Coturnix japonica: one gene and its partner. The protein of the gene in region 2 purifies or fractionates together with the protein of the main gene of each other region. This does not show direct contact. Links are inferred from orthologs where the notes say so. Each region holds a gene or a part of one and is shown on either strand. Other genes may lie near its edges.

Region 1 (3,747 bases), on a different chromosome or scaffold from region 2:
GCGAATCTGATCGAGTGTCTTGATGTCCGGAGACAATCCACCGTGCACACAGAGAATCTGCTCATCTATTAGCTGGAGAGAAAAAGGAACACAAAGAATGCTCAGTATTTCAACCAAACCAAGAACCTCTCCAGCACCACCCTCACCACCACCAATTCTTCAAGTTATATTTAGACAATCTACCTGTATCTTTTTTAAGGTGTTTACACTTACAGCTGCTATTGTGAGCATGTCAAAGACTTTGGTGCAGTATCTCCAAGCATTAGCATTTCCGTATTTGGTTTGGCACTCATCTGTTAAATAGAGAATTTTTTTCTTCTTAACAGACCAGAAGGAATTCAGGCAATATGATCAGAGTCAAACAGAACAGAACCTAAAAAGGCAGATGTAAACCAAAAAGCAAACAGACAAATAAAAAACAGCTGGGAGCAACCGGTGAGCACTGGCTGGAAAGCACTGCTCACTGCTTCTGTGGTCCACCAGCAGGGAGAGAACCTCAGTATCTACTGCTGTGTCTTCAGCAACAGACAGAGGAAAAAGCAACACGACAGACAGCACCTCAGCATCTTCCCACCACTGACTGCCTGGGAACAGCCCCCCTGCTCACCCAGCAGTGTTTATACTCTACATTTCATGCAAGAGAAGTGAGGCAGAAACAGTGAACCCATCAGGGCTAATTAGAGACCTTTTCACTACAAATAAGTGTTACAGTAGCTTTGTTTGTAGCTATACAAACACATCAATAAAACTGATGGACAAATTTTACTTTGGAGCTTCACGAGGCTTACAAATGTTTATATATGCTCTTGTTGACACACTATATCATGTTATCCAGAAGAAAGCAAATTACAGCCTATATATGACAATGCTTTTCTCAGTTATACCTAAAGAGAATTATGTAGAATCTTTTATTTAAAGATACCAAAGCATATCATCAAAAAATGCAAAGAAAAACTGAGATGCTGGAGGAAAAGATGGTCTGGAGATGGACTAAAACGCTTTTACTTCTTGAACACAACAGTGTTAAATAACATTTGAGACCGTTTCCCACCCAGTTCAAGTAAAGCCCCACTTAACAGTGCACACACAAAGCCGATTTCAAAAGGGAAATAGGAGGTAGTTGTTGATGGCATGCTGGCCCCCATTCAGAAATCACTTGGGTAAAGTCTTACCATAGAATCCATACACTTGTGTTATCTGCCTGCTTTCATGATTGCCTCGTAACAGCGTGATACGATCGGGCCATTTAGCTTTTAGTGCCAGAAGGTAAGTGAAAGTCTCAAGACTATAGTAACCTCTATCTACAAAATCGCCCTGCAAAGTCAAAACAGAATTATGAATGAAGAAACAGCAAAAAGGAGAAATGCAAAGTGACACATCCACCTTTAACTCCTCATTGCACAAAGGAACCTGACGCTGAAGGGAGCCAAGCGGTGAGAACGAGCTCAGCTCCCCAGCAATGGTTCACTCACCCCTGCACGGGACGCCCGGCTCTGCCCGCCCTGCAGCCGGGGGCAGCACAGGGGTGGGAGGGCAGAGCGCTGCCACCAGGGCCGGCACCCAGCGCAGAACCGGGACCAACACGGCGCGAGGAGCAAAGCGGCACCGGCACGTACATACCATGAAGATGTAGTTGGTGTCGGGCACCTGCCCGCCGGTCCGGAACAGCTCGCACAGGTCATAGAACTGCGGGAAGGGGCACGAGTCAGCGCGGGCGGCGGCACCGGGCACCGCGGGGCGTCCCGGCCGAGCAGCGCGGCGTGTCCCGTTACCTGCCCGTGGATGTCCCCGCACACGGTGACGGGCGTGGAGACGGGCTGCACGTTGGACTCCTCCAGCAGCAGGTCGCACACGTAGTCACACAGGCGCTGCGGGAACACGGCGGGTAGCGCCACCAGCAGCGCCGGGGTGTGCACCAGCACCACCAACAGCACCGGACAGTATCGCTATCGCTATCGCTATCGCCATCGCCATCGCTATCACTATCGCTATCACTATCGCTATCGCCATCGCTACTACAACCACCGGCACCGTCCACCGCCGCCCGTCCGACCCCGCCCCCCCCCGCCCGGTCCCACCTTGAGGTCGTTCTCGGGCAGGTACTTGCAGAGCCGAGCGATCTCCACGTACTTGTCCAGGTCCAGCGGCGCCATCTTGGGACGGCAGCTCGGAGCCGGAAACGGAGCTCTCCACTTCCGGGAAGCGGCGCGAGACTCGGACGCCAGCGGAACTTCCGCGAACTTCCGGCCGCGCACCGGAAGTTGGCGGCGGCCGGAGCCGTGTGGGGCGGGCGGAGCTCGGCCCGGCCCGGTCCCGCCATGGGGCCGCTGCTGCCGCCGCTGCTGGAGCCGGGCAGCCGCCCGCGGGCGGGCAAGTGGTGAGCGGGGGGCGGGGCGGCGCGGTCCCGGCCGGCTCTCGGCCTCGGCTGAGCGCCGCCCGTCGCTTCCCGCAGGTACCGGCTGGCCCCGCGCGGTGAATGGCCCCGCGGGCGCGTGGGTCACGGCTGCGTGCTGGTACCGGGCGGGTCGGGCCGCGTGCTGCTCCTGGGCGGCGCCGACCCCGCGGGCGCTTTCGCGGACGCGCACTTCGTGGAGCTGGGTGAGGGTCGGGTCGGACCGGGCGGAGCCGCTGCCGTTCCCCGTTAACAGCCCCCGCTGCCGCCGCCGTTCCCCGCTAACGGCCCCGCCCCGCCCGCAGACACACACCGCTGGGCCCCGGCTGCCTGGAGCGGGCTGCGGCCGCGCTACGAGCACGCCACGTTCCTGCCCGCCCGCCTTCCGACGCGACTCTGGGTGTTCGGCGGCGCGCACCCGGCCGGGAACCGGAGCTGCGTCCAAGTGCTGGACCCCGGTGAGTGCCGGCACCTCGTCGGATGCCGGACCTCGGTGGAGCGGGTGTCGGGCCGGGCCGGCGGTGCGGAGCGGCCCTTCAGACCTCGTGTATGCTTTATTAATTGAATGTCTTAATTAGAAATAGGAACCTGGGAGAGTCCCGAGGTGACGGGTGTTCCGCCACTGCCCAGGACATTCCACACCTCCTCAGCAGCTCTAGGGACCTGTCTGTACGTCTTCGGAGGTGGAGACAAAGGAGCGGAGCCGGTTAAAGACCAGCAGCTTCATGTCTTTGACACAGGTACCTGAGTGTGTCGTGAGCTGTACCGGCACTGGAAGTAACCGCCCGCTGTTCTGAAGTTCTGCCTCCCAGATCTCATCAGCCTTGGCTGCGAGTTTCAATGGAGGGCTGAAGGTTGCTGAGGGCTGAAGGTTGCTGCTGACATGTGCTCACCTCTGTATTGCAATGGGGAACTTGGGCCAAAGTGGCAGTATAATGATTTGGGACAGGAAATGCTGTGAGACTTCTCATGACCTGTTGGTATTATTCTGTCTGTTCCTATAGTCCTGCATACCCCAGGAGGGAACCCCAGCGAGACTCGGGGGCTGCTGGTTTGTAGAGCTGACAGTTTTCCTCATACACACACATTCCCATTTTTCAGATGCTTTGACATGGACCCAGCCTGGCACCCACGGTGACCCCCCTTCTCCTCGGCACGGACATGTCATAGTTGCAGTTGGGACCAAGCTCTTCATACATGGAGGTTTAGCTGGTGATATTTTTTATGATGATCTGTTCTGCATCGATACAAGTAAGTAGGGCCACAAGTACCTTAGAACAATGGCTGTGCTATGAAGTGTTTTGCTTTGGTTTTGTTTGTTTTTAATAATGCATAACCATATCTGTTCTTGTTCT
Region 2 (3,647 bases):
GTTCCTTTGTTTACACTACAAACAAGTTACAGGTAAATAAAAAAGAAAATATGACTACAATTCTCAGGCACAGTGCCAGCCATCATTGCTTGCTTGTTAATTAGATCATCCAAACAAGTTCATTCTTTCTTTGATGGTGTTTTTCACAAATGGCAGAAACTCTTTGCAGACATTCAGTGAGCTAGCTATACCCCTACCATTACTGCCCTCTTCTTACAACTCTGATTTGCCATGGTAACTGAAAGTACTCTGTTAAGAAAGCCATACTACCAGAATTAAGATTTTACAATCTACTATTTTGACTAATATTGTACCACTGCTTTGTCCATCTTAATTCAATAATTTCTCCTGTACATTATACTAAAGTGCTTGGGACATGGTTCTGTAAAATACCTAGTACAGTAAAGTGTTCCTGCTCCTTGACTGCAGGACCCTAGATAAAACAATTCAAACAGCAGAATAAAAGACACAACAACAGTTGAAAAACAAAGTGACATTTATAGTTCCCCAAGGACCTGCAGAATTTAACAGTTTTTACATTTTAAAATATAGGTTAATTACTTAATAAAGGATAAAGATAAAGGAGCTATCTTTTTTTTTTTTAAAGTACATGACTCAGACCACTGTCCAATCTTTTAAAATGGGGAGTTGTAATAAATGTACTGCTTTTCTCCACGGTGTATTTGTACAGTGGTTACATGCGGCAGGAAATGCAAACAATGCAGCAGCCAAATAACACAAAAACCACACTAACATAGAAGTGTTAGTGTCTTAATATTTAATCTTTATGACAGAAGTCCTTATTAAATATAGAATTGAAAAACTAATAATTTAAAAATGCATGCTTCACAATGTTTAGCAAATTTATAGGTGAAATATACAACTTGAAATGCAGTCAAACATTTTCAACTCACCATTGTGAACTGCCCACATTATGCGGAAAGCTGGACCACCAATCTCATCAAAAGGTTTCCTGCGGGTGATTACCTCCCAGAGAATAATACCCCAACTGAAAACGTCACATTTTTCACTGTAATTGCTACCTGGAAGAAATCAGAAATATACTCTGTTTCTTTTTCACGTAACTTTTCTATAACTCATTTTTAATAGGTACAGTTCCATGTGAAAAATAGCTCTATATACTTCCTTTTACCTCATATTTGCTTTCCTAAGAAAATAAGGTTTTCTAAAGCTGTTTGATTTAAGCTAACTTAAGTCTGAAATAATTTGACAGTATGTTCATTAGGAATGCCTCTCTCTGGAAATCAGCTCATTTCACTTGGAATAATCCCGAAATGATAAATGAAGTCAGTTTGGTTTTATAACACCAAATGCAATTTATTACATTTCAATGATCTTTTGAATTCAGAACTGAACCTTGCTTCATCTAAATATTCTTGTTGAGCTTGCTTCTTCCACATTAATCATAATATGTTAGTCATCTTTGCCATAGCCTCTGCTTTCAATTAATTAGAGGTCTTTAGCAGAATCATAAAGTTACCACGTAAAACATTAGCAGATTCTCCAATTCACCATCTTGTTTCTTCTCTGTTTACCTTTCTTAATGTTTTTGTCATGCCACTATTTAAATCAAGTTCCCTGATCACAGGCTAAATATTTATAAGTCTAAGTTACAGGTGCAGAAGACATACAGGCAATATAACAACATTCAGAAACTAAAAGAGGAAAACTGTATGTTTTGTTGCCCTAACTCATGCAAATACTGAAAGAAATGTGAATGATTAATAACATGATAATGACAGCATATTTATAAATAACATGGATTTTTAAAATTAATATGTAATAAGAAAGTATTATTGAGACAAAGCATTTCATAAGTAGGAATTAGTGAAGCAGTATTTCCTAAGACCAGTTCTTGCAGATTGGACTATGAAAGTCAAACTGAATAAACAGGATGCAGCCATGTACTCTCTAAGCAAGGGCAATCATTTGAACTTCTCTCATCTATTGATATTACAAAACTCATAAGAACTTGATAACTCTGAAACCCCTTATACTTGTATCACAGTAGCTGAACGTGGCTAATGATTAAAAAAAATTCTGAAGGGTAATAACAAAGTCAGCTTTCTCTTCAAAAGGTAGCTGTTAATGATGACACATTATAAGGGAAGTAAAACAATCTCTGAGTCTATGCGGTGACAGCACTTCTAGCTACACATTCACTCCATCTTAGGCACTCCACTTTTAAACTGATTCTTCCCAATGATGGCAAGATAGGAGCCCAGCAAGAGCTTTAATGCTGCTGTGTTGAGCAAAGCACTAAATAACTGCATCCCTCCCCCTTTTGTCAAAACTCCTGCACGGTAAGAAGAAAGTGACAACCTTTACGCCTTTTGTCTCTGACAGGTCTGAAGAAGTCCCTTTTCAGTGGACAAAGCTGACTAGAAATGATACTTGGTACCAATAGAGGAGTGAAGACCCCGTGGTACACAGTGGCCGACAGACAGCCCATGATAGGAAAGTAATGCTGTACTCCTGTTTAAGCAAGGAAATTCTAGTTAGTTTGAAGCTGAAAACTAACTCTGAAAAGTGATAGTTCGAAACCAGTACCTAGCATAAGGGGGAATGTCCTATTGTTTCCTTATATAACAGGCCTAGGAGGGATAGCAGATGCATCACTTTTCAATATCCAATTATCTCAAAGCATTTTAAAAATAATTTTGACAAAGAGAGCTCAGAGCTTATAGTACTTTTTTTCTCTTTCACTTTATTCTATCTAAATTATAATATTTTCATTTAGACTGTATGATCTGTTACAAGAGTCTAAATGCCTTAATACTTAAAACTCAGAGGAAGTCATAATATTAGGAAAATTACATCCGTAATCACTTTTTAAGTATGTCACCTACAAGAGATAGTTCTTAAGCCTTTTTAGTTCTTGACTAAAACTTAGTAATAAAGCAGTATCAAAAAAATATTACTGCTTATCCCACTGTTAATTTCTGATGCAGTAGTACACGCAAAAAAAGTTTAACATTTTTGACATAATTTTAATACTCCTTTAGTACATTAATACTTAATTGACTGTCCCAAGAGTAATTTGATATGCTGCACCACAGAATTTACTGGATCCCTTGATCTTTCCTTCACACTGATTCTCACATAAAAGACTTGTGGCATCATCACTAAAAGCTTTCAGGAAAAGGTACGTAAAGCCAACTGCAAACTGAAAGCTTTTGCTGCCACCTAACAATAGATTTGCAATACAATATTTCTTTGTTCTGCCCTGATGAATTTATGTAGCAGAGAAATTAAGCTAAGCACTGTAAATCCCCACCATGGCGCTGCTCTTATTTAAAAATCAGCTTTTATTTTTTTCACTCAAAAGCAAAAATTTTGTTTTAACGCTGATAGGGCAATTGATAACCTCTAAAGGAAAAAGATATTCACACAATTTCATTTAACAGTAAATGTTAAGAAAGTAAGCACTCCTAGCTAAAGTTAAAGAAACAAAGTAGGTGCTCCAATATAAAGTGACATAATGGAAAATTTTTAGGCACCAGGGTAAAGCAGAATCATCCTTAGGTGATTCCCCAAGGTGACAAGTAGAAAAATGAGGCACCTTCATAATAAAAGCTCCAAAATTGGTGCCCAGGAGAAAAACCCTCTGAAAAATATTAATTGTG

Evidence for each region. Proteins that work in one complex are often made in the same cells at the same time.
Region 1: the proteins of MAP3K7 (region 2) and PPP6C purify together in Homo sapiens (affinity purification with western blotting; 3 studies listed by BioGRID and IntAct, with this or other methods). This does not show direct contact. The link is inferred for Coturnix japonica from reciprocal best matches to the Homo sapiens genes MAP3K7 and PPP6C.

The regions. Positions count from the first base shown.
Region 1 is NC_029532.1:8,073,736-8,077,482, forward strand, and holds the start of PPP6C (serine/threonine-protein phosphatase 6 catalytic subunit), read right to left. Parts: upstream 2,214-3,747; 5' UTR 2,154-2,213; coding exon 2,079-2,153; intron 1,869-2,078; coding exon 1,773-1,868; intron 1,687-1,772; coding exon 1,621-1,686; intron 1,315-1,620; coding exon 1,173-1,314; intron 294-1,172; coding exon 214-293; intron 73-213; coding exon 1-72. Other genes in the region: RABEPK (rab9 effector protein with kelch motifs), read left to right, coding at 2,319-2,377, 2,453-2,598, 2,698-2,850, 2,971-3,132, 3,494-3,643.
Region 2 is NC_029518.1:68,414,094-68,417,740, reverse strand, and holds part of MAP3K7 (mitogen-activated protein kinase kinase kinase 7), read right to left. Parts: intron 1,044-3,647; coding exon 915-1,043; intron 1-914. UniProt on the Homo sapiens protein: Serine/threonine kinase which acts as an essential component of the MAP kinase signal transduction pathway. Plays an important role in the cascades of cellular responses evoked by changes in the environment.